Ovis aries: one gene and its partners. The protein of the gene in region 1 purifies or fractionates together with the protein of each later gene. This does not show direct contact. Links are inferred from orthologs where the notes say so. Each region holds a gene or a part of one and is shown on either strand. Other genes may lie near its edges. The genes, in order: PHLPP2, WDR20, NHERF2, USP12, USP46, NHERF1 and WDR48.

What was found.
Region 2: the proteins of PHLPP2 (region 1) and WDR20 purify together in Homo sapiens (affinity purification with mass spectrometry; 4 studies listed by BioGRID and IntAct, with this or other methods). This does not show direct contact. The link is inferred for Ovis aries from reciprocal best matches to the Homo sapiens genes PHLPP2 and WDR20.
Region 3: the proteins of PHLPP2 (region 1) and NHERF2 purify together in Homo sapiens (affinity purification with mass spectrometry; 3 studies listed by BioGRID and IntAct, with this or other methods). This does not show direct contact. The link is inferred for Ovis aries from reciprocal best matches to the Homo sapiens genes PHLPP2 and NHERF2.
Region 4: the proteins of PHLPP2 (region 1) and USP12 purify together in Homo sapiens (affinity purification with mass spectrometry; 3 studies listed by BioGRID and IntAct, with this or other methods). This does not show direct contact. The link is inferred for Ovis aries from reciprocal best matches to the Homo sapiens genes PHLPP2 and USP12.
Region 5: the proteins of PHLPP2 (region 1) and USP46 purify together in Homo sapiens (affinity purification with mass spectrometry; 4 studies listed by BioGRID and IntAct, counting the BioPlex papers as one, with this or other methods). This does not show direct contact. The link is inferred for Ovis aries from reciprocal best matches to the Homo sapiens genes PHLPP2 and USP46.
Region 6: the proteins of PHLPP2 (region 1) and NHERF1 purify together in Homo sapiens (co-immunoprecipitation; 3 studies listed by BioGRID and IntAct, with this or other methods). This does not show direct contact. The link is inferred for Ovis aries from reciprocal best matches to the Homo sapiens genes PHLPP2 and NHERF1.
Region 7: the proteins of PHLPP2 (region 1) and WDR48 purify together in Homo sapiens (affinity purification with mass spectrometry; 5 studies listed by BioGRID and IntAct, with this or other methods). This does not show direct contact. The link is inferred for Ovis aries from reciprocal best matches to the Homo sapiens genes PHLPP2 and WDR48.

Annotation. Positions count from the first base shown.
Region 1 is NC_056067.1:38,912,089-38,915,960, forward strand, and holds part of PHLPP2 (PH domain leucine-rich repeat-containing protein phosphatase 2), read left to right. Parts: intron 1-117; coding exon 118-264; intron 265-643; coding exon 644-874; intron 875-2,427; coding exon 2,428-2,630; intron 2,631-3,872. UniProt on the Homo sapiens protein: Protein phosphatase involved in regulation of Akt and PKC signaling.
Region 2 is NC_056071.1:64,661,414-64,665,285, reverse strand, and holds part of WDR20 (WD repeat-containing protein 20), read right to left. Parts: intron 3,842-3,872; coding exon 3,655-3,841; intron 2,646-3,654; exon of another isoform or gene 2,474-2,645; intron 1,061-2,473; coding exon 957-1,060; intron 1-956. UniProt on the Homo sapiens protein: Regulator of deubiquitinating complexes. Activates deubiquitinating activity of complexes containing USP12. Anchors at the base of the ubiquitin-contacting loop of USP12 and remotely modulates the catalytic center of the enzyme.
Region 3 is NC_056077.1:2,105,825-2,109,696, reverse strand, and holds part of NHERF2 (Na(+)/H(+) exchange regulatory cofactor NHE-RF2), read right to left. Parts: intron 2,570-3,872; coding exon 2,390-2,569; intron 984-2,389; coding exon 830-983; intron 752-829; coding exon 708-751; intron 358-707; coding exon 295-357; intron 62-294; coding exon 1-61.
Region 4 is NC_056063.1:32,983,948-32,987,819, reverse strand, and holds part of USP12 (ubiquitin carboxyl-terminal hydrolase 12), read right to left. Parts: intron 1,492-3,872; coding exon 1,415-1,491; intron 1,296-1,414; coding exon 1,212-1,295; intron 1-1,211. UniProt on the Homo sapiens protein: Deubiquitinating enzyme that plays various roles in the regulation of the immune response and inflammation.
Region 5 is NC_056059.1:69,051,863-69,056,238, forward strand, and holds the start of USP46 (ubiquitin carboxyl-terminal hydrolase 46), read right to left. Parts: upstream 2,879-4,376; 5' UTR 2,736-2,878; coding exon 2,700-2,735; intron 1,846-2,699; exon of another isoform or gene 1,729-1,845; intron 1,459-1,728; exon of another isoform or gene 179-1,458; coding exon of another isoform or gene 161-178; intron 12-160; exon of another isoform or gene 1-11. UniProt on the Homo sapiens protein: Deubiquitinating enzyme that plays a role in behavior, possibly by regulating GABA action. May act by mediating the deubiquitination of GAD1/GAD67.
Region 6 is NC_056064.1:55,979,790-55,984,429, forward strand, and holds the start of NHERF1 (Na(+)/H(+) exchange regulatory cofactor NHE-RF1), read right to left. Parts: upstream 2,875-4,640; 5' UTR 2,642-2,874; coding exon 2,177-2,641; intron 1-2,176. UniProt on the Homo sapiens protein: Scaffold protein that connects plasma membrane proteins with members of the ezrin/moesin/radixin family and thereby helps to link them to the actin cytoskeleton and to regulate their surface expression. Necessary for recycling of internalized ADRB2.
Region 7 is NC_056072.1:12,380,104-12,384,434, reverse strand, and holds the start of WDR48 (WD repeat-containing protein 48), read right to left. Parts: upstream 3,063-4,331; 5' UTR 3,044-3,062; coding exon of another isoform or gene 2,996-3,043; 5' UTR 1-2,995. UniProt on the Homo sapiens protein: Regulator of deubiquitinating complexes, which acts as a strong activator of USP1, USP12 and USP46. Enhances the USP1-mediated deubiquitination of FANCD2; USP1 being almost inactive by itself.

The DNA of each region.
Region 1 (3,872 bases):
ACACATACTGTTTGACACATACTGAATGTTCAGTAAATATACGCAGAACAAATTCTTTGATGGACATTTACAACATCACTTTTTCATTCAGTAGTATAATGTGCCTTTGCTTTTTAGATTTTCTCAGCTGAAGGGCCTGAACTTGTCCCATAATAAGCTTGGGTCATTTCCTGTATTGTTATGTGAAATTCCTACCCTGACTGAGCTCAACCTTTCCTGTAATGGATTCCAGGACCTGCCGAGTCAGATTGGCAGTCTGCTGAAGTAAGTACCTGATTTTTACTGGGTTTTTTTCCTTTGTTTGCAGTGTAAGGAACTTGTCTGGTATTTGGAATGAAGCTAGTTCCATCAGCTCTTGCAGTGAAATAGATCATGTAATTATGAGAATTCTAATCAGCAGCAGTTACTTGCCTACAAAAGAGACTATCCCCTCAGTTTAACCACAGAGGCTCTGACTACCCTTGATGTTAAAGGGACCATCTGTATTTGAGTCATCTTAGTAAATCTCTATAGATAGACTGAGGGCATCTAATCATATTGGACTCATAATAAATTAGTGACAAGTAAAAATCCATAATTCTAGTTTTATCCATTCCAATTAAAACGTTTCATCAGGGAGTTTTGTGTTGGTTTCTTCTTGCAGTCTTCAGACTCTCTGTCTTGATGGCAACTTCCTGACTACTTTACCTGAAGAACTGGGAAATCTACAACAGCTGTCCTCCCTGGGAATTTCCTTCAACAACTTTAGTCAAATTCCCGAGGTTTATGAGAAACTCACTATGTTAGATAAAGTGTTTATGGCCGGAAACCGAGTGGAAGTGCTAAACCTGGGGGTGCTGAACCGGATGAGCCATATCAAACATGTGGATTTGAGGTGAGGTCATTCTTTTTCATTTTTGATTGCACTGAGTCTTCACTGCTGCCCGTGGGCTTTCTCTAGTTGTGGCAAGCAGAGGCTCCTCTTGTTGCATAGTGCAAGCTTTAGGCACATGGGCTTCAATAGTTGCAGCATGCGGGCTCAGTAGTTGTGGCTCGTGGGCCCTAGAGCACCAGCTTAGTAGTTGTGGTGCCCGGGCTTGGTTGCTCTGTGTCATGTGTCCCAGAACAGGAATCGAACTTGTGCCCTCTGCATTGGCAGGTGGATGCTTATCCACTGCATCACCAGGGAAGTCTGTTTGGTCATTGTTCACTGTGCTTTCTTTTTGCCTAACCTCTGATGTTCCTTTACATTTTCTTTTTAAAAATAAAGACTCTTGAAACCATTAGGATTTTAGAACAATGTATGTTTTTAAAGCTATAGTAAAGCTTCATTTTTCACTTAATGGTAGAGAGATTTATGGATGAGGTAGGTGTACCATGTGGTAGAGATGAAGGTTGTTCTGACTTACCCACCTAGCAACGTTTTATGAGAATTCCCATTTCCTTTCATCCTTACCAATGTTGGATTTTAGCAGTCTTCTTCCTTGTTAGTGTAGTAGGTAAAAAACAGTATTTCATCATTTTAATCAGCATTTATTACGAATTAGGATGAGTGTCTTTTTGTATGCTTATTGGTGGTTTGTATTTTTCCATAATAAACTTGACCATTTTTCTGTTGAATCCTTGGGTTTCTTCTTGATATCTGTGATATTAGAATTGAAATGTTACCAGTTTTACTAGTAATATTTTTTAATGAGAGTTTTATTCCTTTCTAAAATTACTTATATATTTGTAATCTTTTCCTAAACGAAAGTAGTAAAGCACACATACTGAATGTTCTGTTATTTACACTGAGCCATTGATGTCCCTCATAAAGACGTAGTAACAAAAATTTATTGAAGAATGGGAAAATGAGAATAAGCCTGCATGCATTAAATCATATACCTTATAGAAGAAGCCAAAGAAGTCGTTTTCTTTTACTTGCCCTTGAACTATTCCATATAGATAACAGACTGTTTTCCTCTCCCTTAATTAATGTAATGGGAATCTTGGCACTGGACAGTAGGCAGAGCAGTGAGAGGCAGCGTAGCTGTTTGTTCTTGCTCTCATGTGATACTTACACTATGACCGTCCTGCTAGTCCCAGCCCCAAAGGTTATGCTCATCTTCTCATTTCTTTGTTTTATTCCTTCATCCCTGCCTAACCTTACTAGGTATTTGGATGCAGGTTTTAGGCTAACTGTTTGTGGACATGGTCCCCTTTTCTTTCTCTTTAATTTGTACATGTATTTGCCAATCTGCACAGTCTCTAACTTAGTTTGTAGACAAAGAACCCAAGGTACAACTATCTGTGGTTATTTACCTAGTACCTTGCACAATGAGGCAAGGAGTAAAATTCTTAAGTTGTTTAGGAAAGAGACAAGAGAAACATACTCTCCTGTTTTTTTCTTTTGGTAAGCACATTTAGTAGAATTTATTTCTAATGATTTTCTTATTTCTGAATATTAAGGATGAACCGTCTAAAAACCATGATTATTGAGAATCTGGAGGGAAATAAATACATCACCCACATGGATTTGCGGGACAATCAGCTGACTGACTTAGATCTTAGCTCCTTTTGCAACTTGGAGCAGCTGCATTGTGAGCGGAACCAGCTGAGGGAGCTGACGCTCAGTGGCTTCTCGCTTCGAACTCTCTACGCGAATTCGAACAGTGAGTTCTCTACCCAGCCTCCTGTGTTTCCTCTTGTAGCTCTTGTCTGAGCTATACAAGAACAGTGGCATCTGAGGTGTTCCTCAGCCACTCTGCCAAGTGGAGTTTGAGGTTCATAGAGACCTAGCTTTAAGTTTGCAGTCAGCACTTCAGTGGTTGAGATATGCATAAAAAGGCATTGCAGGATTATTTGAGCTTCACTAAATGAATGTTATAATAATCAGAGGCATTTTGCAGAATGCTAGGATGTTAGGGTGGGCAAGCATGTTCAAAAGAGAATTTCAGTAATAGTCTTGCAACATGGGTTGGCCAGCTGCAGCCCTGTAAATATGGCCTACATCTCATTTTGTGTGGCCCTTGAGGGATGGGTTTTTATATTTTTTAAAGGTTGGGTTTTTAAAAAAATCAGAGGAAAAATAATTTTGACATGGGTAAGTTATATGAAATTCAAATTTAATTGAATAAAGTTTGATGGGAACACACCCATGTTCGTTTGCATATTAACCACTCTCCTGCTACAGTGGCAAAATGATTGAGTAGTTTTGAGAGAGACCACATGGCCTGCAAAGGCCAAAATGTTACTAAATGCTTAACCCTTTACAGAAGATTACCAGTCTCTAGTCTAAAACCTTGTGCTGCCTTAATTCCAGAATGAGAAGCCCTTCACTTCAATAGTGATTTATTTGCCCCAGGGCTATTTTTCAATGTAAAAGGCCTCATATTTGTTGAGGCCATTCTGTTTATAGAGAATTCTTTACTGAGGAAGTTATACAGTTGACTCTTGGGAAACATAGGTTTGAAATGCACAGGTCTGCTTTTTGTTTGTTTTGTTTGGCCATGCCATGGGGCTTGGGGGAATCTTAGTTCCCTGATCTGGGATCGAACTGGGGCCATGACAGTGAAAACGCTGAATTCTAATCACTGGACCACCAAGAAGTTCCCTGTACAGGTGTACTTAAACATGGAGTTTTTTCAGTAGTAGATATGGTTGGTCCTTGAATAATGCAGGGTTTAGGGGCACATCAAACAAACCCTTTAGACAAAAATCTAAGTGTAACTTTACAATCAGCCCTCTGTTTTCATGATTGTGTAGTATTGTAGTATTTACATATATGTATATATATATGTATGTGTGTGGGGGGGATATATATATATAAATAAAACTATATAAAGTTTTGTATGAATTTTCAACTGCTCAGAGGGTCAGTGCCTGTAACCCCCACATTGTTCAAGGGTCAATTG
Region 2 (3,872 bases), on another chromosome or scaffold:
TGTGCTCTGGGCACTCAGGTTCAAGAGGCTAAGTTCTTAGTCACTCACTCTGCGTCTGTAAAGTTCGTGGTAATAAACTATTGTAAATGCCCCTTTGCAGGCAATGAACAGATAGCTGGAGCCTTGGGAGTATAAACAGGGCTTAGTCCTAGACACGTCCAGGACGCAGCAGACCTCTCTGCTCCTACTGTGCTTTCTCCACAGACCTGCCATCTCCTCTCAGGGACGCGATTACTATCTACATGCTGACCACTCCCAGAATTCACCTCTAGTCTGAACCTCCAGATCCACAGACCCAACTACCCCGGCCTCGCAAGCTTGACAAGCGGGAAAAGGAACTCTGACCTTTCGCTCTGCTCCAGCACCTGCTCCTTCCCCTCTCACCCAGTGCGCCTAGTGAGCCAGAAACCCAGCATCTGCTCATCTATCTCTCCAACTCCGTCTCCAAGATGGAGCCAGAGTAATTTTCAAAAACACCACGCAGACCACCTCTGGCTCCCCTGTGCGAGATTCCCTGCACGGAGGCCAGGCAGCAACCGTGGCCAGGCCCTCACCCGACACCCCTCTCCCAGGGCTCCTGGCCCCGGGTGCATTCCCACAGGGGCTGCCCCTGCTCTCCCTCCTGCAGGGACACTCCAGCTCCAGCTTCGTACCTGGGGGGGCCTTCTCACGCGAGGCGAGGCTCAAAGCATACCACCTCCTCCGAGACATGCCCCACGTCCCTGTCCATCAGGCGCTGTGTCTGTCTCTCTCCCTCAGGCCCACTGTCTCCTCTGACATCACAAGTCACCACCACGTGCCGTGTGAGTGTGTGTATGTGAGTGTGTGTGGCATTGTTCACACTTCTCCCCCCTCTGGAGGGGAAACACAGGGCAGGTGTTCTCTGCACACGGTCAGCCACCAAGGTCTGCAGAATGAATGAGGAAATGGTCCCAACCCCAGGTCAAGTCCTCAGCTCTCTCCTGGACAGTCACTAGAGCCTCCTCACTCATCTTGCTATCTTCATTCCAATCCGCCTTCCCCAAGTGCTGACAAGAGTTCGAAAAAAACACACTTGATCCTATCACTTCCTTCATAAAGTAAAACCCCAAAGGTTGCCCCACAGCCTCCAGTGTCAGATCCAAATTTCTCAGCATGTCACGAAAGGCTTTTGCAATCTGGTTCCAGTTCACCTGTCCAGCTTCACCTCCAGCCACTCCAAGGCCCACGCACTGAGGTCTGGACTCCTTTGTTGGCCTCATGTTCCTCCACATGCTAAGGTGTTTTCTCCAGCTTCGAAGGCCCTTCTCATCCTCCTCCAACTCCTCTGCATCTTTCAAACCCAGGTCAAATGTCACCTTCTGCAAGCTTTCTCAAACTTCCCTCGCTGAATTTTTGTTTTTATTTTATGGTATCTGGTACATCCTGAAGAGTGCAATTAATACTCACCTCTCTTGCTACTTTGTTCGTAACACACACTCCACATCCTCCCTGTCCATCTCACAGAAGAGTGAGCTCCAGAGGTGACAAGGCCCATATGGCAACCAGCTATGATGGGGCTTCCTATCTATGGCCAGTAAGGATGTGTGGAATTAATTTCTGGATCTAAGCATATCATCAAATTGCTGCCGGGTCTGGACGACTCACTTGCCCTCTCTCTAATTCCTTGTCTGCACAGTGGAGACAACAGCCCGCCCTCTCGTGCAGAGAAAGCAGGTAAAATACTCGGAAACCTCCAAGTCTCACATGAATGCAAAGCACGGCCCAACAACTGCTTCGACCACCATCCCTGGCACCCTCTGAGAAACAAACCTCCAATGACCCTGTCTCTAAGACATCCTGACCAAAATCTGATGAGAATGCTATCCGTACGACAAAGAACACCCTCACTGTGAAGGGCAATCAATTTCAGCCTCGAGCTGTAAATGCCAAGTTGGCATTAAACCACACACAATCCTCTCTCCCTTTGAACAGCCACTTTCCAAATAAAATGTACAAGAGTAGGAGGTAACTCCGCTTCACTCCCTGAGGGTGGGGAGCTGCAGCCTGTGGCTCCTGGCTATCCTGAGTGAGGAATGGGGCGAGCTGAGGCGATCGAGTGCTCTCGGGGCCCTGGGGCCTCTGCTGCACGCCACCCCCCTCCAGCGACGGCACACAAATCCTTCTTGTTCTCCAAGAGGCATGCTGTGCCATCCACAGCCGGGCGGCCTCCCGACCTTGTTTACCAACCACCCTTTACATGGCTCCAGTCCCTCCCCGCCGAAAGCACGTCCCCACCTAAATAAAGACCCTGCAGGATGCCAAGTTCGCGTTTCTACTGAGAGTGCAGGCAAGGGTAGTTTTGTACCCCCACTCTCCCCACCACCAACCTCCCCCCGAATCATCCAGCCACTTAGAAATCACTCCCTCAGATGCTGTTAATAAAATGTTTAGGGAAACAGAATAATTTTCTGCTTAAGATTTTTTTTTTTAAACAGAAAATGGGATTAAATACTTTTCCTCTCTAGTTTGTCAATCCAGATGGCAAGTTTTGTTCCAGTCAACCCAGATGAAACTAGAAGAGGAGATAGCATGGTTCAAAAGATTTCACCAAATCCATTGGCAAAGTCCAACAGGAGCACTGTGGATGGATACTGGATATACATGGACAGCATATACCATAGGGACTGCAAAAGAATCAGAATTTTAACTGCAATTTGTCAAGTGGAGTATTCTTTCCCAAACAAAATTATTTTCTTAAAAGCCAGAATCTGTAACTTACTTCTGTTTCAAGTTAATAACTTTTAGACCATGCAACAATGCAAAACCTCCTGCCCTTCCCGACAGGGGCTCAGGTGACCTGACCTCATCACCCCAGGGCTGAGGTTACAAGGAGACTGCAGCCAGGGCCTCTAACTCAGCAAGCCGACCTCGTCCGCTCCATTTACTAGGAAAGTCACACTGAAACAGCAGAGGAAGTGCATCAAATATGTAACGGCAAGACTTCAGACTAAAAAGCCACTCCAAAAGCTTTTAAAGATGTAATCCGTCCGGCAACTTCCATCTGCCCAGATTTAAAGGTTCTGACATGTTTCTGAACAAACAGCTCAGATCTCTTGGGCTCCATCAAGAATGAGACTGGAGACACCAGGAATCCCAGGACACAGCACAACACAGGCAGGAGCTTGTGCCATGCCAGCCAGTTTCAAGGGCCAGGACTTCTAACCACATCAGAGGTGATTTTAGAGCAAACGCTTTCAAGAGCAAGAGAGCAAATTCTTAGATGTATGCCTGTCAAACACACACATTAACACTTTATCTACCGTTTGCGAAAACTAAGGAAATATTAGCAAGTTCTTTGATCTGCTTGAAATTTTCTGGCGATGTGAACACAGTTTAGAATTCTTTATCTTCTTATTTAAATTATAAAGATCAAGCCTTATCTCCATTATAAAAACAATTTTTCTTAAAACACCTGCTATAGACACAAAAATGCACAAAATAACAGTTAGCCCAATAAAGAACAGGTAAAAGTCACCAAGTTAACGCACCACATTTAAACTTGGGTCATACTAGGTAGGACAGCTGAGGATGGAAAATGGGCTTCACTCAAAGAGTAAAATTATAAGGCCCATACCCTCGGTAAGAACGTATACATTCTTATAGGGGTTCTTAACAGCTAAGACAGGGTGCTACTTACTTCCTCATTAAATAGTTTGCTAGTTTCTTTTTTGATTGGGTCTATAAGCTGGACTTGGCCTGCGGAAAAGCCCACTAGGAGAGAGACACTTTCTGCTGTGGCTGTTAGGTGGTTGAAGTCATGACAAGTAGGCTGTGTTCCTTTGTATATCCTTTTATCTATTGGTTTACTCAAGTCAGCAGCCTGGAGGAGAAAGAGAAAAATACACACGGTA
Region 3 (3,872 bases), on another chromosome or scaffold:
CTGTGGGGCTCAGGTGAAGGCCGCTCTCCTGAAAAGGGTCTCGCTTCCACGTGCTGCCATCCTAGGGGTGGACACGGTGGGCAGGTGGCCAGTGAGCCCTGGACCCCAGCCCCCAGGCAGGTGGCCCTCCCCAGGGAGCTGGCGCCAGAGGCCACCTGGCAGCAGGCCCAGGAAGGCTTCCTAGAGGCGGCGGCCTCACGGCTCAGGCTGACAGCTCCACAGATGCCCGCCCCCAAGGCCTCAGGCCCCCCAGCATGTGAGCAGCAGCACTGGAGGTGGAGGGGCACCCACTACCTCAGTGTCCTTGTCTAAGCCGGGCAGGTCACTTCGGGACGAGCACACGGAGCCACCATTGAGCTGGGAAACCAAGGGTAAGGTGTGGCTTCAGGGGCCCACCCAGGAGACTGTGCACACGTATGTGCACACATGGACACAAGTGTGTGCACACACGTGCACACCCCAGAGCTGCATTTACTCCTGCATCTGGCAGTGGCACTGAGCCTTGACTGCAAGCTGGCGGTGCCCGAGTGCCCTGTGGGGTGGAGTGCGGCTGGGCCCGGACAGGACCCAAGGGGCCTTAAAGCTGGGAGTGACAGGGCCGGGCTCAGTGTCACAACCATGTGACACCAGGACTGAGGTCTCAGGAGGGGCTCCCAGAAGTGCCCCTGAGGTCCCCGAGCCCACCCTGTCTGCTCCCACCCTCTCACCTGGGCCGAGCTGGTCCCGTTGGTGACCGGCGATGGCAGTGGACCTGTGGGGACAGTATGTAACTGACCACTCGGGTCCCCGATGCTTCACCCCAGCCCTGGGCCCCAAAGCAGCCGCTCACCTTCCACATGCTCCTCGGTGGGTGTGACCCGCAGCCGCTTGAAGTGTTCATCCGTCTCGGGGTCCACCACCAGCAGCTGGGCCTCGTCCTCCCGCGCCTTGATGCTGGCCACCACCTCTGCATGGCGCAGCCCCTCCACATTCTGCCCGTTCACCTGCCACCAGCACAGGGTCAGTGCTGCCTGGGGACTGGTCCCCACCAGCCCCCCAAGCCACCCGGACAGGTGTGGCATCAAATATTCATCAGTGCCGTCACCAGCTGCAGCACCAAGAAGAGCACCAGCTCAGGTTCCCGGAATCTTCCTCCTGCAGAGGACCTGGGGCCCAGGCACACAGACGTGGATAGATGCACACAGACACACCTACAGGCACGCAGGTGCAGACACACACACAGATACACGCGGACACATACAGGTGCACAGGCACGCGCACACACGGACACACCTACAGGCACGCAGGTGCAGACACACACAGATACACGCGGACACACATACGGACACACCTACAGGCACGCAGGTGCAGACACACACAGATACACACGGACACATGGACACACCTACAGGCACGCAGGTGCAGACACACAGATACACACATACAGGCGCACAGACACACACATAAACAGACACACCTACAGGCACACAGGTGCAGACACACAGAGATACACACACATACAGGCGCACAGACACACACAGATAAACGGACACACCTACAGGCACGCAGGTGCAGACACACAGATACACACAGACACATATAGGTGCACAGATGCACACGCACAGATAGATAGACACGGACACACCTACAGTCATGCAGTTGCAGACATAGATACACTCGAACATGCACAGGTGCGCGCACACACATATGGACACACCTACAGGCATGCAGGTGCAGACACACACACAGATACACACAGACACAGGCGCACAGACACAGACATACCTACAGGCATGCAGGTGCACACACACAGATAAGTACACACAGACACACAGGCCTGCAGGCGCACACACATAGATAGATACACATGGACACACCTACAGGCACACAGGTGCAAACACACAGATACACATGGACACAGGTGCACAGGCGCACATGCACACACACGGACACACCTAAGGCATGCAGGTGCAGACAGATAACACAGGAACACACCTACAGGCACGCAGGTGCAGACAGATACACAGGGACACATACAAGTGCACAGACATGCATGCACACACACAGATAGACACGGACACACCTACAGGCACATAGGTGCAGACACAGATATACACGGACACACCTACCGTCACGCAGGTGCAGATACACAAGGACACACACAGGCACACAGAGGCACATGCACACACACACATAGACACGGACACACCAGGCATGCAAGGGCAGACACACACACAGAGATAGATACACATGGACACAGCACGCAGGCACAGACACATATACACACGGACACGGATAGGCAGACACGTAGGCGTACACACACACACAGGCACAGACACACAGAGGCACGCACAGCAGGACACAGGTACACACAGGGCAGCCCGCTCCCCGCAGCCCCAGTGGCAGGTACCTCTATGAGTCGGTCCTGGGCACGGAGACCAGAGTGGGCAGCAGGGGAGCCGGGGTCCACTGAGCGGATGTACTGTCCGGGCCGGGACTTGTCGCTGTGCAGGTTAAACCCGTAGCCCTGGGGGCCCTTCCGTAGGTGGCAGAGCCTTGGGCGCAGCTCCCTCAGAGGCCCGTTGGCATCCTGCAGGCGTCGGGGACACCTGGTGAGGTTCCAGCTCTGACCTCCTCCCATCTGAGAGATGCTGACGCCCGAGGCCTCCAGCCCACACCCACCCCACACCCCGCTGGGTGCCAAGGCAGCGCTTGGCCTCATACCCCCACCTGATGGTAGCCCCTCGTCTCAGAGACCCGTCCTGGGGTGTGGGGGTGCTTAGGCCACCTACGATGATCCAACTTTGGGATCTTGGACAAAGGCTTGGTTTCCAAACCCCCAGTGGGCCTGTGATGCGATCAAAGGCCTTACAGTGGGATTGGGAGAATCCACTGGGTCGAGGATAGGGCTGGGCGCAGACCCGAGCCGAGGAGGGAGCAGGCGAGGTGAGCTGCCCCGTGTCTCTGTTCCAGGAGGGCAGCCCCGCCTGTTGTTTACTCCGAGTGTGGGTCTGCTGGGGTAGGGCTCCAGCTTTGTTTACACTCCCACAGGTCTCCCTGGGGCTGGTGGCAGCAGCTGCAGCTGTGTTTGCCTTCACATTCCAGAGCAGCTGGAGCAGCCCCCATCCCCACACGCTGGAGCCCAGTGAGCAAGCAGAGGGGCCTGCCTCCCACCTGCCCCTCTGACCCCGGGGGCTCCTGGTGCCCTGAGGGTGCCCACCCACACCCAAGGGCCCTGCCTCCGTTTACCTCTGGCATCCTGCAGTAGGGCTATGGGCCAGGGGGTGCAGGGAGCCGTGCAGGCAGGGGCCAGACCCCAGGACCCCACCGGGGCCTAAGGCAATGACCAGCGCTGAGTGGCCAGCGGCCGCGACGCTCAGTCTAACATGGCGGTGGCCGGAGGGAGCAGGCGGCCAGCAGCTCAGGTTTCCCCAGCGCTTAGGGCTCAAATGTGCGTGCAGGGGCGGGGGTGCTCACCGGGGCCTGGCCTTCCACCTCCCTGTGTGTGGCCGGGGACACTGGGCCAGGTGGGGGGCCACACTTGGGAGAGCCAGCCTCCAAGCCTCCAAGCTCACCCCAAATCCCCCAAATCTGACTGTGGCCACCCTGCCGTGGAACCAAGAGTGCCCTTCCTTACAGGATGGTACCTTGCCCCAGCATGTGGGCCTTCCTACCGGTGGGGAACACCTTCCAGTCCAGCCTGGGCCCCTCCTCCAGGGGCCCGTTCCTGATCCCCAAAGAGTCCCTGATCTCCAAAGCCCCCCAGGAACCCCTGCTGCAGGCCACCATCTGCCCCAGAAATTCCAGGGGCTGGGGCTTCTGCTCCTCCATCCTCCAGGGGATCGGCTGGGCAGACACCCAGGTTCTCCAGGACCCCACAGACTGGGCCCTCT
Region 4 (3,872 bases), on another chromosome or scaffold:
GGCACCACACCGAGTCTGTGATGAGCTTCTCTGGGAGACAATGCTGTCACATTCGATGCTGGAGAAACAAGTGTGTCCATGTGACTCCACGGGGACAGGACACTTGGAAGCTGGCTTGGCTTCCCCTTTGCTGATCGGACCTGTCACTGTTCCCTGTGACAAACCTTAGCTGTGAGCAGGACTACAGACGCTGAATCCTATGAGTCCTTCTAGGGAACCATCAAATCCAGGAGCGGTCGTGGGGGCCCCGACACATGACACGTATCAAAATCGTGTACCATTTAAAAAGAACACAGCCTCACCTCTGTGTGATTCCTGCCCAGAATACAAAATCTAAACCTCATTACATTAAAACATGAGATGGACTCAAAGGAGGACATTCTGTAAAATACCTAACCTGTAATTTTTAAGTGTCAAGAGAGTGAAAGTCAAGCAAAGACTGATAAGGAACTGCTCCCAGTATAAAAAGATGACAGAGACACAAATGGTAAATGCAACGTGTGCCTCTGGACTAGACCCTTTTTTCCTATAAAGGACATTACTGGGACATCTGGTGATGCTAAAGTAAGGTCTACAACAACAGTAACATCTCAGCGCTGCTCTCCTGACGTGGCCGGACATGGTACAGGGGAAACGTCCTTGCTGGCAGGATACCACTACCGAAGCCTCAGAACTGTGGGACATCACAGCAGGGACCCACTCTCAAATGGTTAAGGGTGAAAAGCATTCTTGGTATACTGTTCACAAGACTTTGAGGCTGCCTCAAAACAAAAAGTAAAATAATCAGGGTGATGATAAGTCCATTTTCTGATACCAGAGTACTGTCCTCATGGTGACACACTGAGAGAAGGCGTGAATCCTATGGAGGAACAGTGGAGACTGGAGTGGGCGTGAGGAAAGCACTTTTCCCCTCTTCTTTCCTCACCACGAGAAAGCTTACACAACGAGGAAAGCTTCAAAGCAGAATCCTCTCACTGTATTGGTTTATGGCGATTAAACACTCACCAAGTGTGGATAGTCAAGGCAGCCCGGAGTTGAGCACTGTTTGCCTGGTAACTACCTCATGTGTTTGTCTAGTAATTACCTAATGAGTCTTAACAGTTGGTGATAAAATAAAGGATGATTACTCAATGCAAACTGCCAGAGATCACTTTTGGTTAGAACATCCATGGCCAAAGAATCACTATGAATTACAGAAAACACTAAATTACCGTTTGTGTGCTTCCTGTTTGCTGCGACATTCTTCACAGTAGTATTTGTATTCACTGCATAGAGTTTCTGTGTTGCTAAAACCCCTGTGTAAAATCCAAAATAAATTAGTTTTGCCTGTACCAGAAAATGATGCATTCATTTAAAGATATTCTAAAAACCAAAGATAATCATTAACTGTCAAAATAAATAATTCCACGCTTACCTTAAGCAGTGAGTAATTGATGTGTTTTGTTCCACGTCAACAGAAAGGTCTAAAAAATCTTCATCTTTGCTGCTTATCTGTAAAAATAAGAGAATTAATTACCTTTGATTTCTTTAGGTATCAGTAAATTACTGCTCCAAAGTGAAAGAATTAAATGTGGGTTATTATCAGTATTATTAAATATATAAAGAACCTTTTTCCCCAAGTTGAAAAGAAACTACTTGAGTCATACAAGTTTACAAAAGGAAGCTGAATCAATACCCTTCATTATATTTAGAAGAAAATACCAAAGTGCACCTACAGCTGCTCTCCTTACTGGCAAAGGCTGGTGTGATGTGAAATCCCATCACTTCCCCGAATCCTGGTATTGGGGGTGGTTTGGTCACTCAGTCGTGGCCCACTCTTTCAACCCCATGGGCTGTAGCCTGCCAGGCTCCCATGTCCATGGTGTAAAGCATAAAACAAACTATGCCATACACAGTAATTCTTAAAAGAACACAGGACAAGGATGAATGAGAATGGCTGGTAAAGGACATGATCTCTATACTGTTTAATTATTTAAGAAAAAAACTACCATTTAAGAAAAAATATTAGTCCAACATGCCAAACTGAGCCTTCACTTATGACCTTCTTTTATTTATCCTCCAAATTTAACCATGTTCTGATTTATGAATGAATCATCTATAATGATCTAAGTTACTACTTAATCAGTGAGCTAGAGTAAGACACATCACTCATGCTGGCTGCCTCCCTTGACGGGATGCAACAGGAGGGACGTCAGACTTGGTCCCTGGGACCCCTCCACCACCAAGTGACTCCACATGCACAGATGGTCTGTGATGACTTTTTCGATACAACACGAAAAGCATTTAAAGAATATCAAAAGCATTTCCATGAAGGAAAAAAAAACAAAAAGTTCAGTTCAGTCGCTCAGCCGTGTCCAACTCTTTGCGACTCCATGAATCACAGCATGCCAGGCCTCCCTGTCCATCACCATCTCCCGAAGTTCACTCAGACTCACGTCCATCGAGTCCGTGATGCCATCCAGCCATCTCATCCATGGTTGTCCCCTTCCGCTTCTAATCCCCAATCCCTCCCAGCATCAGAGTCTTTTCCAATGAGTCAACTCTTCGCATGAGGTGGCCAAAGTACTGGAGCTTTAGCTTTAGCATCACTCCTTCCAAAGAAATCCCAGGGTTGATCTCCTTCAGAATGGACTGGTTGGATCTCCTTGCAGTCCAAGGGACTCTCAAGAGTCTTCTCCAACACCACAGTTCAAATGCATCAATTCTTCGGCGCTCAGCCTTCTTCACAGTCCAACTCTCACATCCATACATGACTACTGGAAAAACCATAGCCCTGACCAGATGGACCTTAGTCGGCAAAGTAATGTCTCTGCTTTTTGAATATGCTGTCTAGGTTGGTCATAACTTTCCTTCCAAGGAGTAAGCATCTTTTAATTTCATGGCTGCAATCACCATCTGCAGTGATTTTGGAGCCCCCAAAAATAAAGTCTGACACTGTTTCCACTGTTTCCCCATCTATTTCCCATGAAGTGATGGGATCAGATGCCATGATCTTTGTTTTCTGAATGTTGAGCTTTAAGCCATCTTTTTCACTCTCCTCTTTCACTTTCATCAAGAGGCTTTTTAGTTCCTCTTCACTTTCTGCCATAAGGGTGGTGTCATCTGCATATCTGAGGTTATTGATATTTCTCCTGGCAATCTTGATTCCAGCTCGTGTTTCTTCCAGCCCAGCATTTCTCATGATGTACTCTGCATATAAGTTAAATAAGCAGGGTGACAGTATACAGCCTTGACATATTCCTTTTCCTATTTGGAACCAGTCTGTTGTTCCATGTCCAGGTCTAACTGTTGCTTCCTCACCTGCATATAGATTCTTTAGGAGGCAGGTCAGGTGGTCTGGTATTCCCATCTCTTTCAGAATTTTCCACAGTTTCTTGTGATCCACACAGTCAAAGGCTTTGGCATAGTCAATAAAGCAGAAATACATGTTTTTCTGGAACTCTCTTGCTTTTTCCATGATCCAGTGGATATTGGCAATTTGACCTCTGGTTCCTCTGCCTTTTCTAAAACCAGCTTGAACATTAGGGAGTTCACGGTTCACGTATTGCTGAAGTCTGGCTTAGAGAATTTTGAGCATTACTTTACTAGCATGTGAGATGAGTGCAATTGTGCGGTAGTTTGAGCATTCCTTGGCACTGCCTTTCTTTGGGATTGGAATGAAAACTGCCCTTTTCCAGTCCTGTGGCCACTGCTGAGTCTTCCAAATCTGCTGGCATATTGAGTGCAGCACTTTCACAGCATCATCTTTCAGGATTTGAAATAGCTCCACTGGAATTCCATCACCTCTACTAGCTTTGTTCGTAGTGATGCTTTCTAAGGCCCACCTGACTTCACATTCCAAGATGTCTGGCTCTAGACGAGTGATCACATCA
Region 5 (4,376 bases), on another chromosome or scaffold:
CAGATGACCTGCTTTTAAAAAAAAAAAAAAGACGCAACTGTCAACTGTCACTTCTTACTACAACTCCATTTGGTCCCAATGGAGTTTGGGACTGGGAAGGATCAGTTAGAGCCCCCCAGAGAGAAAAGAAGTGGTGAGGAGAGACCCACAGAAGACCTACCTGGAAACAATTCATCATTGAGTGAAGAATCTTAAGCGAGGTCCAATGAAACTGTATGTCTGAACAAGTGAAAAGACAGCAGTCTCATCACCCAGCCTCCTCTGTGGGAAGCAAGACTGGGAGGGACCAGGGCACCAGAGCAGCCTTTTATAAGGGGGCGGGATTAAGGACTCCCACCCCAGTCTCCCTGTATGGGCTTGGTTTGCATAAACAAACATTTATCTTAGCATTTATCTTAGCAGCTGCTTACATCAGGTCCAAGAAGACACTGTCCTTTAAACAACTGAAGATGACATAATAATGAGAAAGATGAAGCTGATCAGCAACACGTGATACTCAGTAAGTACTTGCTACCTAGTAGGCTCAGTAACTCCTTTAATACAACAGTCGCATGAGGAGGAACCATTATCATCCCCTTCTTGTAGATTAGGAAAGTAGGAGAGCAACTGGTTCTGGGACAAAAAACTAGCATATGTTCGAACCAAAACCCTGAACCCAGGAAGTCTGACTTTAGAGCCCAGACTCTTTATGTCCCTTACTCTAGGCACAGGGTCTATATCGGAATGTACAACTCCCGAGTTGTGAATTATTGGTTCCTCATCTCACTTGGGTGATGATCCTAAGTTTGGTGCCTTTTTAAGGACTTCACATGAGATGTCAATTCTCCACAGCCCACTCCTCTCGTCTGCCCTGCAGCTTGCCTCTCTAGCTGAGTTTTGTTGGAAACAGGTTGTGACATTCTGCTCAGGTGTGCCAAGAAGCCCCAGCTGCACTGAGGGCAGAAAAGGAAAAAAGCTGGAGGCTGGCTTCATCTTGGCACACGCTAGCTCTCAAGTTTCCAGCCTGCTTCAGTACAGAGGTGTCACCACAAACAAGCAGGGCAGGAACACCACCACCGACGGCTCCACTGCCCTGTAAGCCCAAAGCCACCAGAGCAGGCACGAAAGAGTGTTAGAGTTGCTCTGGTTTCACAGTTCCCCTCAGGAGCTGGTCTTAGCAGACAGAGAAACCGGGAAGAGAGGCATCACCTTTTCACTGCACCAAGCAACATTAATGCCATTCGACAGGAGGGAGCAGGGGGCCTGTCTCCGCATGGAGAAGAGAGGAAATGGAAACCGGCCAGGAGCCACCCACCACGTCTAACTGGTCCTGAGCCAGTATTTTTGCAGCTGTCACCCCGGGAAGGCCCAGCTTTTGCTCTGCCCACCACAGCAGTAGCCACGTCCAACAGCGCTGAAAACTGAAGCCAGCGCCAGTGGGTCTTGATTCCATCCCTGAGTAACACATGGCTCCTTAATGCTCCTTTCCCATGTGTTAATCTTGCAGGAGAATATGGGACAGAAGATTTGAAAAGCTGGGTGATGGGGGAAGGGCAGCCAGATCACCTTACTCCCAGGCTTTTCAATCAAGCCTCCTCAGATTCCCTTTAGCGGCCTGTGTTACTAGCTTGAGAGGTTTCCCCAAACTGGTATTAAAAGAGCATGTGTTCCATCCAGCTGGAGGAAGGGGAGACAGGATGGGGGTGGGGTGGGGGGTTGGTCCTTGGACAGCCAAGGCAAAGCACACACCCTCTCATCGTGCACAGGAAGGCAGTGCCTCACTCCAGGGGGCAAGCCTTGGTCCCCAAGGCTCTGACAAGTGGAAGTACCAGCAGGAGGCACCCTTGAGACCCAAGGGCTGGAGGTTGTTCCTGCAGAAGGCAAAGCAATGGGAGAAATACAAGTTAAAGTGATCACGATGTCGTGGGCCCCGTCCTCACCAGAGCCCAGCAATGTCCTCTTGCTGCGTCCACACCCACCGGTCCACACTTGGGTCTACAGTGACAGGCAGGATAACCCTGGAGACCTCCTCCATGCCCCCCAGACGGCCTGCATCCTCAGGACCTTTAAATGTCACTGCCTTATGACCTTGTTCCCCTTTCACAGATGGGGAAACTGAGGCATCCACAACAAATGACCGTGCTTTCCCAAACCAGGTATAAGTTCACTTCCCTGACCACAATTTTGCACTTTTTTTTACAGCTCTATCACATTTCAGATTTCTCCAGACACACCGACTGCCTCTGCAAAGTGAATCTTAAATACAGTTTAAAAGAGTGAACTCAAAAATCAGATAAGGGCGGTCAGGGTGTCCGGCAGGGCTTTATCTTCGGCAAGAACATGGTGGGCGTCCCCCGCGACCCCAGCTTCTCCAACCTGGTCCCCCGGGACGTCCGGGTTCGGCCTACCTCCTCCCCCCAAGACGCTTCACCGCAACCCGAGGGCGGAGGCGCAGCGGCTCAGGGACGCGCGGGCGGGCGGGCTCCCGGGTCTCGGGGCCGAGAAGGGGGCGGGGGGCTCCGGGCCCCTCCCCCGACAGCTCTCCGGGCCGCGACCGGCCCGCCCAGCCCGGGGGCCGGGAACTTCTGGCGGCGCCGCACGGCCCCCGCCGCCCCCACCCCCACCGGCCGCTCGGCGGGCGTGCAGCTCGGGTTTCCCATTCTTCGCCTCCCCACGCCTGGGGCTCGACCCTCGAGGCGGCGGCGGCGGCGACCACTCACCATATTACAGATGGAGGCGATGTTTCGGACAGTCATTAGTCTAAAGGTTACAGCGATCCCGCACCGCCATCTTTACAAGGGGAAAACAGGACCGGCCATGGTGGAGCGCTCGCGGGGAGGCCGGGCGCGGCGGCGGCGGCGGCGGGGAGGCGGCCTGGGGTCCGGCTTTCAGTTTGGCTGGGAGAAGGGAGGCCGGGAGGGAGGAGAGGAGGCGGGGAGGGCGGGGAAGGCGGGAGGCGGGCGGGAGAGCGGAGGGGCGGGGAGTGGCGGAGCGAGGGAGCCTGGGCCGCGGCCGGCGGCGCCGGGAGGAGGGGCGGCCCGAGCGCCGCGTGCAACCCGCACGCCCCGAGCGCTCCCGCCGCGCTCCGGCCCCGACCCGGCCCGGGTCCCCGCGGCTCCTCCTCCCGCCTCCGCCGGCCGCCCCGGCTCGGCTTTCCTCTTTTTTCTCTCTCGGCGTCCTGCTTCACTCCGAACCGGCTGGAAAGCGCGGCCAGGCCCCGGCTCGCGCAGCTGCAGCCGGTCCCCCGGGCGGACCCGTCCGCGCCGGCGGCCTCCTCCGCCCAGCTCCGGCCCGCGGCGCCGCCCGGGAAGCGAGACCGAGCCCTCGCTGGGTGTCGGCCGCCGGAAGGCGCAGCGCGCGGGCTGGGGACTCGCGGCCGCTTTCTGTCTTCACTTGTTCTTTCTGGCCGCGCGGCCCGCAGCAGCCCCGCGTTTTCACGTTCCGGCGAGTGGAGGAGGCAAGGGGCAGGGGTGACTACGTCCAACTTTTCGTTTGTCCCTGGGTTTCCAGCTAGATGGCACCAGCGGGGACCCACGAAGTAAATGGGGTCAGGACACGGCAGTGCCGAGAGCCCTTGGCCTGCCGGGTCGAGGGCGCCGGGAGGGGACGGGAGCGTGGGCCGAGGCGCGCTTGGGCAGTGGGTGACAGCAGCAGGTACAAAGGGGAAGTCTCAGTACTGGATAAGGACTAGGGATGGTCCAGGGAGCGATGGAACCTGGAAAGAATGAAAAACAAACTTTTCCGCGTCTTCTAGAAAAACCTACTTCACTCGGGGCCACCCAGCTTCTTCAGGTTTGGAGGGTCATTGTATTGGCTCATACACATTTCCTGCATACACAGTCGTGGTTTTTAACTCAAAGCGCGAATCTACACCACTTAGCAGTTACATTCTGTGAAGTGGAGGAGCCCATTTCCGAAGGTGTAAAACAGTTCTCATACAAAGTTGCAGTTTTATGCTTTCAACAGAGAAGTTGTACGAGGGAAACGCCTGACAGTTCTTAAACCCATATATTTAATGACAAATCGAATTAGAGGAGAAATTAATGAAATTGAAGATAGCTTTTATCTAACCAAGAGGAACATACTGGGAAAATAGCTCACTTCCTGTCCTCCATTATCTATTTAGTGTTAATGCTCTTTAGTAGTTGAAGACCATTGATTGTTAATGTCCCTAGGACCTGGGATGGAAATAAGACAACGGAGACAAAGTTTCGTTGGGGGTCATCTTGGCTCTGGATATTTAATGGATTTCCAGACATCAATTCCTGCTTAAGTTATTCTGCCTACATCTTATTTCCAAACAGATCCTGATAATGATGGTAGCTCACTTTGACTTTTTACCATTGTCAGTCATGATGCTCTTTACATTCATGACCTTGGTCACCGCCAAACCCATC
Region 6 (4,640 bases), on another chromosome or scaffold:
ACTCCCCACCAAAACCTTTTCCACTTCCGAGAACTAAGGAAGATGTCATGACAGCCCCCATAAGTTAATTCAGATTCAAAGTAATCAATAACATGCAAAAGCTGTATGCATCCCTTATACAGACCCCGCCCCCGCCCCCGTCTTCTTGGGGAACAATGAACTCTTGTGGCTATTAACTTATGTTTTTTTGAAAGACAGGGTGAGTCACCTGCATGCCCACCATACCAAACTTTACAGGAATTTCCTACCAGAGGGGCTTAACACTGCTGAGCGGCTACACAGAGGCTAAGGGAGATCCCGGGTCGTGGCTGGGATTCAAATGCCTGGGCGCACAAGGAGCTCAGTCCAGCTCCCACTAGGGGCTCAAGCGTATTATTATTTGTAAAATCCTAGAGAAGGCAGGTGTCCCTGGAATCCAGCGCTCTCATTTTATCGATGGCAGAACCAATGCTCAGAGAAATTCTGACTCTCTTGTTGACCCCAAATCCCAAGAGGCCTGGTGATGTCCCAGGGAATGGCTGGAGGAACTGGCTGGATAAAGCATACACATGGATGCAGGGGTCACACCCCGACCTGGGGGAAACCCCATTCTGTGGTCGCCCAGAGAGCAGGAGCCAACCTCTGCTGCTTTTCAGATGGCCTGGCGGGGGAGCGCACGTGGAAGGTCAAGCCTCCATCCTGGCCTCTGCGTCCCCCACCCCTAGCAGCAAAACCGAAAGGGCAGTGGGAGGAGCCAGCCGAACAGGACTGCAACTTGGCGGGGGAGGGGGGAGTTACTTGTGCAAGTGCCAAAGTCCATTAAAAAAAAAAAAGGAATGCTAAGTTGGTGCCCTCGGCACAAAGTTCAAACTGGATTTGTCTGGGACCAGAGATCATGAGTTCCTACTCCCTGGGGTCAACCCCCTGCCGGGGTGCTCTGACCCCACCCCCACCCTTGCCAAGGCCAGCTTGGCGGCGGCAGGAAGTGGTCACCCAGTGGCCTTGGCATTCCCAGCTCCTGGTGACCTCACTTCTACCAAACCAGTTGGTCCTCTCGGGCTCCACCTTCAAACTGAAAGGCTGAACTGTGCCTTTTCTGTGTCACGGGAGGCTCCTACCGGTACCACGGACACCCCTGCCAACAGGTGGAGAGCTGGTGAAGCCGAAGAGGCCCAGGGGAGGCCCCGACTCTCCTCCCTCCAGTCTCACCTTAAGGCCGCCCCCACTCTCTGGGCAAGGAAGGCTCAGTACAAGTCCTGTTTCTCCTTGCCCCTCCTGCAGCTGATCCAGGCTGGGGTTATAAACACCCAGCGTGGGCAGAAAGCAACCAGCCTGCTTGCTGTCCAGGGCCTGGAGTGAGACAGCCGGTGCCAGGCAAGACCACCTGCCCGTGGTGACCTCCTGGCTGCTGTCCCGCCCCCCACCCCCACAGCCAGCCACTTCTCCAAGGTCTTCCCTCCTGCTCCCAGATAGGAGCTAGCTTACTCCTCACATTCCTGAGAATCATAAATCCTCCTGGGGGCAGAGCTGCCACCACCCCCGGACCAGACGCCCCTGCACCTCCTCCCTCAGCCCCGCCCCCACACATCTCCTGCAGATGGTGGAGCTTCTTTCTTAGAAGTCACGCTGGACTTCAGGAGGATGAAGTCCACCGGGCTGAAGTTAATGATACACAGGCTAGCGGGCTGCGGGGAAGGGGCGAAAGGGCCCCCTCCCCTCCCCTTCTCCTCCCACCGCTGCAGCTCCACAAAGAAAGAGGGTGGTTGGTTATTCCTCCGGCTTTTCGAAGTCGGGCCGCTTCATTTACCACCCCCAGGGGCCCGTGGAGGGAGCTGGCCACTCGGAGGAGGGGTGGAATTGGGGGTCCCAAAGGATCGGAGCAGACAGCCACCAACAGAGTGGAGGAAAGGGAGACTGGGCTTCCTTGAGCCGCCCTCCTTCACCTTCACTCCCTAAGGCGCTCAGGGTCCCAGCCCAGCCTGGGGATGGGACGTAGGGGTCGTGGGACGCAGCCTCAAGACTGTAACTGCCAGCTGGCCCAGTCGGCGGGCGGAAGCAGTCTCGCCTCCGAAGATCGAGTTTCAGAAAGACAAGGCGGGGAGCAGGGCTGGGCATCCCGGGCGCCTGGGTCTCCCCACTACTCTCATTCCCCCCCGGTTCCATCCAGCCTCCCCGCGAGGCCCGGGCCCGCACTTACCCGCTCCTGATGGCTCTGCTCGGCCTCGCGAGGCTCCGGCGCGGCGGCCGGCGGCTCATCTTCGCCGCCAGCCCCTCGCTCCTCGGCGGCTGCGGCCGGCGGTTCGGCCTGCCCGGGCCCTTCCTGGGCACGCAGCATCTCCTCCCGGACCTGGACGCCCAACTTCTGCAGCCGCTCGTCGGTCTCCGGGTCTACCACCAGCAGGCGCACGGAGTTGAGGGCGGCACGGATGCGGTTCACCACCTGCTGGTGGGTCTCCTTCTCTACGTTCTCGCCGTTCACCTCCACTAGCCGGTCTCCGGCCAGCAGTCCTGACTTCTCGGCCGGCGAGCCGGGCTCCACCAGCCGTATATACTGGCCTACCTTGCCCTTTTCCCCGTGCAGGTGGAAGCCGTAGCCGTTCGGACCCTTCTCCAGGCAGCAGAGCCGGGGCAGGGGCGCCCCGGCCGCCGCGTCCGCGCTCATCTCGCCTGGCAACGGCTCAGCGGCGCTCAGCGGTGTTCGGTCGGGGTCCGGAGACGGGCCGGTCCAGCTCCGCGTCCCACCCTGCGGGCCGGGAAGCGAGGGCGAGAGCGGCAGGGCAGCCCGGCGACGCCGGACGGGCCAAGAAGCGAGCAGGTGTGCCGGGAGCCGCGGCGGCGAACAGCGAGGAGCCGAAGCCGGGACTCAAACACCGATCCCCGCCCCGCGCGGCGACTGAGCGTTCCAGAAACCGCCCGAGCCGCATACCCCGGGGGCGGGGCCGCGCGGAGGGTGTGGACCGCCGCGGGCCAATCAGAGGCCTCTCACGGAGGCGCTCAGGCAGGGTGAAGGACCCTGACCAATGGGAGCACCAGGGGGCGGGGCTCCGGGCTCCGCTCGGCGCCCCGCGGCGGGAGAAGAAAGAGCGCTCAGGAAGTGGAAGTGTTTGTTACTGAGTGTCCGGAGTGCAGGCCCGGGGAGGGGCGCTGGGTGCGGGGCGGGTTCCTGGTACCGGGCTGGGTGGCTCGCAAGATCGGTTCTGATTCCACCCCCCTTACTCCGTCCGCCACCACCACCACCACCTGCATCAGGGATTGAGCGCGCCAACCCTCGGGTAAAGGACCTTGAGGCTTTAACAGCCTTCAGCCAAACTGTGCATCTCCAGTTGGGGGGTGAGGGTGGGGGCGACTGTTGCTAGGAAAAGCAATCCGGCTCCGGGGCTGCGTGGTCCCCGCAGTTTTACTGTGGTCCAGGCCCACCTCGGACCCAAGAAAGTGGTTCGAATAACAATATTTTCCAGTTTGTGGGGCGCTTAGTGCAGGGCCTGCTAGTAGGGTTGCGGGCTCCCATCTTCGCTGGGACAGTGTGAAGGTCCAGCAGAGCGCCCAAGGCTTCAATGGGACTGCGCAGCGAAGACAGGCCACCCAGGGGCAACTGTGTATCGGCGTCAGCCTTTGGCTAGGGAGGTGGGGCAGGGGAGAGGCAGGTCACAGTCAGGGGGCCGATCTCTGGGGAAAAGGAGCCCTGACGTTTTCAACAGAGAAAGTAAAATGATTAGGACCGTGAGATAATAAACCTTCTTTCAGCTCCTACTTTCAGATGAGAGGCTGGTCACAGAGGCTGGGGGCAGTCTGTTAAGGGTGAGGTGACCAGTTTGGTGGGGGGTGGGCATTTAAGGATGAGGATCAAATGATTTTGGCAGTCAGTGACAAACAATAACGATCCTTTCAACATGAACTGCCGCCGCCCTCCCCCCACCCCCGCATCATGTCCACCTCAAAGAAACAGTGGACAGGGTGTACTTTCCAAAATACTGCCATTTAATGCTGAAAAACACAAATGCTAGAGGCCCAGAGCAGCCCATGTGACTGGATCGCCTGCAACCTGCCTTGGGCCCCAGAAGAACCCTGCAAGGTCAGGCTCCTCCCTGCTCTGCCTGCAGAGCTTCCTTATCGGCCTGAGTTGGAGCTGCTGACTCTGCTCCAAGAGCAAGATTTCTGCTTTGAAAGCAAATGCAGCGGCCTGAGAAATGGGCAGTACATACCTTACATACCCCTCTCCCGGCCCCTGGTGTACAGAGCTGGAGTAAAGGTGTCTCTAGATCAATCTGCACAGCTCCTGACCTCTTCCCAGGGCTGAGGTCAGGGCTCGGGAAGACCTGTGACCTTGGCTACACAGAAACTCCTTGTGGGCCCTTTCCCCACCCAGATCTTACCAGAGAGACATTGTTTTGCATACAATGCATTGATTTACCCGGAAATGGATGACCTCTCACTCCCTAACCAGGGTCAGAGAGAAGGGAGATAAAGCAGTTTGGGCTCTAAGGTCAGTCAGTTGGTCTGTCTGTCTGAGAAGAAAAGGAATGAGGGAGGTCAGGGAAGAGGCAGCACTTGGGTTTGGAGGTTACACAACGGCCTGAGGTTTGCTCACTTCTGCCTCCTGCCTACGCCAGGATCAGAGTTTTCTCTGCTTTCTCTTTATTGGGCTCTTTTGTCCAGCAGAA
Region 7 (4,331 bases), on another chromosome or scaffold:
GCCAAGAGGCAAAAAATATTTCTGTAGCCATATATATATTTTCCAAAATGGAAAGTTGTTTTTTTTTTAAGAGCAAAGAATATCATAAAAATGTTAAAAAATAAAAAGGTTCACATATGTTAAGGTAAAAGGTATCTTGTTTCCTGCCTTACCAATAATCACATAATCTAATATCCCAGAGATAATCACTGTTAATATCCTTGCAGACTTTGAAAATGCATTATTTCCTGTGTGGAAATGGGACCATGCTATGCTGATTTCCTATTCTTACCTCTGGACATCTTTTCTTTAATATAAATCTAGCCTATCTTTCTAATTGCAAAGTAATCTACTATACGAAAGTACCTAACTTATCTGTCAATTGACTCTTGATAGACATTCTGATTTTTGTTTTTCACAATGACAGCATTCTATAACAAACATCCTCGCATGACAAAAGATAGATGCATATGTACTTTCATAAAACAATTTTTCAGACAAGGAATTGCTGAATAAAGGGAATGCATATTTAAAATTTTGAACAAACAGCAAAAGACAAAGCAGTGAATACCGTGACTCCATTTTAGAGTGAAAAAAAAAATCACCTAAGCTGAGTACACATTTACAAAGAAGTATGGAACACTAATTTTCAACCAACAACTCTGTCCTCCAGAGGACATCTGAAAATGACTAGAGTCAGTTTTGGTTGTCACAGCTGGGAAGGTGCCAGTGTCTAGTGGGAAGGCAGGATGATGCAAAACAACAGCCCTCCCACAATCAAGAATTATCTGGCCCAGGAGGTCAATAGCACTCAGAGTGAAAAACCCTGGGCCTAGATTATATCTCACACTCTCCAAAACAGTTTTCTGTGAAGAGTGGAGCACAATAATCATTTATACTTTTGTACTGTTTGTGGCTTTTGTTTTGTTTTGCAACGAACATGCACTGGTTTAAAAAACACTTTCATGATCGAAAGCTCACCCTTGTATTTATATAAAAATCCTTCTCTGCGCCTTCTCATATTGGTTCTATACCTTAGGGACAAATTCTGAAAGACTCAAACAAGACTCACTGAATTTTCTCGGCAGCCAACTGATAGTAGAAAGTTCTTTTGAATGCTCTTCCTAGGAATCAGTTTCAAGTCACTTCACCAATCTGACTGCTATACCTATTAAGAACAAAGCGCTAAGTACTGATTCCCAAGTTCCAGTTTTGCACTCTGATCGGTGAAGAGTGAATTTATCATTCTCCCTCATTCTGCATACCATGGCTCATAGTCAGCTTATTAAAACATTCAGTTTTACCACACATGCCGCAGCTAACTTATACTTTCCCCATCCTGTACTTTTATATTACCTTTTAAGTCTAAATCCAAGAAACTAAGACACTTGATTAACTCTCCTTACTACCCTAAGGAATGTAGGGCAGCACTGCCCTACCTTAGGGCAGTAAGGAAAGTTTTCTAAACACCAGAAAACAATTAAGTTACAATTAAGCTCACGTTTTAGTCAGGAGCATACATTCTCACCACCTGCCTTATGCACTTAAAAATCACCTTACAGGGTATGCTATTTTAGATTCTTGTTAATGTCACTCAATTCAACAAACATCTAATGAGTGCTGAGGACACTGTACTTGATCAATGAGATCAATAAAAGAAAGAAGTGAACTAGTCAGAAGATTTTATGGCCAACAGCCATTTCCTGGGCTTACCTCAATGAAGGAATCCCTTGTCCAGATTACCAAATATTCACTGACTTATATGTAGCACTACATACACGGCTGAGTTTTATAAAGAAAGCTTGGGTGCTACTTATTCCTGCACTCTTTCAATTCTTTACACATTTTGGGGTCCAAACTAAGGCTCAGTAAATGTTTAACGAGTAAGTGCACCGTACTATCCCCATTACAAACAACATACTGCAGGTAATCAGTAATACTAATTTTGAAGCTGCAACTCCAGTACTTTGGCCACCTGATGCAAAGAGCTGACTCATTTGAAAAGACCCTGATGCTGGGAAAGATTGAGGGCAGAAGGAGAAGGGGACGACAGAGGATGAGATGGTTGGATGTGGTTGGATGGCATCACCGACTCAATGGACATGAGTCTGGGTGGACTCCGGGAGTTGGTGATGGACAGGGAGGCCTGGCATGCTGCGGTTCAGGGGGTCGCAAAGAGTCGGACACGACTGAGCTGAACTGAACTGCAGGTAAACACCTGTAATAAGGCTTTTACTCCTCAGGTCGTCGAAAACAATAGGTAGCAATAACTCAAACGTACCCAAAACGAAACTGTACTCATGAAGGCATAAAGCACACACGGGAGGCTTAGGTAACTCTTTGCTTCTGAATAATATTATACATTAGAGAGAGAGAAAAATTCAAGGATGCAATGCACACTAAAGATGAAGAAACGGTGAAAATATTAAATTCCAAAACAATGAAAATTACAATTCTCCCACAAACACCGGCACACTCCCACATCGTTTCCACCTCGCGGGGGAGAAGGCTCGCGCATAAAAGGCGGCTGGGGGTTCCCAAGTGCAGAACCTCCTCAAAAACCCGGCAGGGCTCAGCAGCCACGCCACGCCCCCGCACGGGCCCACTCACTCAGCTGCCCGTCCGGCGGGCAACAGTCCCAAGGCCTCCGCTCCGACGCCGCTGGGCACAGGGCTTGGGAGACAGACGAGGGAAGGGGGAAGCAGGTGGGCGGGGAACAAGCCCAGCCCGACACCGCAAGCACTAGCCTAAGAGACAGCGGATGACCTACAACACCGAGCTCCGAACTGCGCGTCCAAGGATCCCAGTACTGGGCCTTCGCGGGTCCAGCCGGCCGCCCCCCGCCCCTTCTTCAAGCCGTTAGCGCCGCGGCCCCACCCCTCGCCGCCAGCCGCGCCTCGTCCTGCTTGCCCCAAGCCGCTACCCTGGCCGACCGCGGCCCGAGGTATCTGCTTGCTGGATGTAGGACCGGGGCTGCCAGCCACGCCCGGGAGGTCAACGAGCTAGCCTTTCCTACCTGCACTTTCCTCCGCCCTGCCGTGTTCTGCCGGTGATGGGCCGCCATCTTGCATGTTGACAGTCCTACGTCACTTCCGGAAGTGGCAAGTACCGGACGGATGTCCCGCCTCTTCCCGTCCGGTCGAGGCCTGGCTGGTGGTGTTCACCTCAAGGGCTGCTTGTAGCTGAGGCTGGTGTCCCAGTGGCGGTCCTGTGGTATGAGAGAAACACTTAAAAACTGTTGCGTGCATATAATGCTGCCGGAGAGAGAGTCATTTTGTGAGCTGAGGAAGCTATCCGAAACTGGCTCTCTGTGGGCCTGCACCCCGGCTTGCACTGTTCTCTAGTGCCTCCTCAGGCCCAAGTAGAAGAAAAATGCTGACAGAATTAATGCTGGAAATGGGGACTTTGATGGCACCTCTACCCCTTTCACGGAGGAGGCAAGGGCACCCCACTCCAGTACTCTTGCCTGGAAAATCCCAGGGACGGAGGAGCCTGGAACGCTGCAGTCCATGGGGTCGCTGAGGGTCGGACACGACTGAGCGACTTCACTTTCACTTTTCACTTTCGTGCATTGGAGAAGGAAATGGCAACCCACTGCAGTGTTCTAGCCTGGAGAATCCCAGGGACGGGGGAGCCTGGTGGGCTGCCGTCTATGGGGTCGCTCAAAGTTGGATACGACTGAAGTGACTTAGTAGTAGTAGCACCTACCCGTTTCAAACGTTTGTTGGCAGCTAGGGGATCCGGTATATTTACCATGAAGTACCTAAAAGGATGGAGAATTATAAACTGCCCTGAAAGGAGGTGAAGTAGAAGGTTTGGCAAAGAGGGTCGTCCCATCTTCAGGAGGCTCCAAGTACCTGATTAAATAAGAGAGAGGGAATTCCTTGGTGGTCTGTTGAGGCAGTCTGAGCAATGGTTGGAAAACAAGTTCCAGACATAGAGTATTTCAGGAAGAGAGTGAATTTGTTAAGAACAAAGAACAGAGACAACATAGGGACTGTGAGTGCAGAGGGGCTGACCTCCTGACAGACCAGGGAATGCTGGCAGTTTTTGTGGGTTAATAGCCAATTTTTATACTCTCAAGACAAAAGTCCTGCTGGATGGTTGGAGTTATTAGGTGGTTGGTTGGGGCGCTATAGAATATTTACTCAAATGGGCATCTTTGCCTAATTGGGAGTCAGGAAGCTTGTTAGTGATTATCAGGAGCTTTTGGCAGTAGTTACAAAGGGCTTGGTCAGCTTCTGCGGTGATCTTGGCTCTGGGCTCTGCTTCTGTGGTGCAGGCCTTGGGGCAGGTAGGCCTCAATCTGGTCCAGTGGTTGGGACTCAGGGCTTTCACTGCTGAGGCCAAGG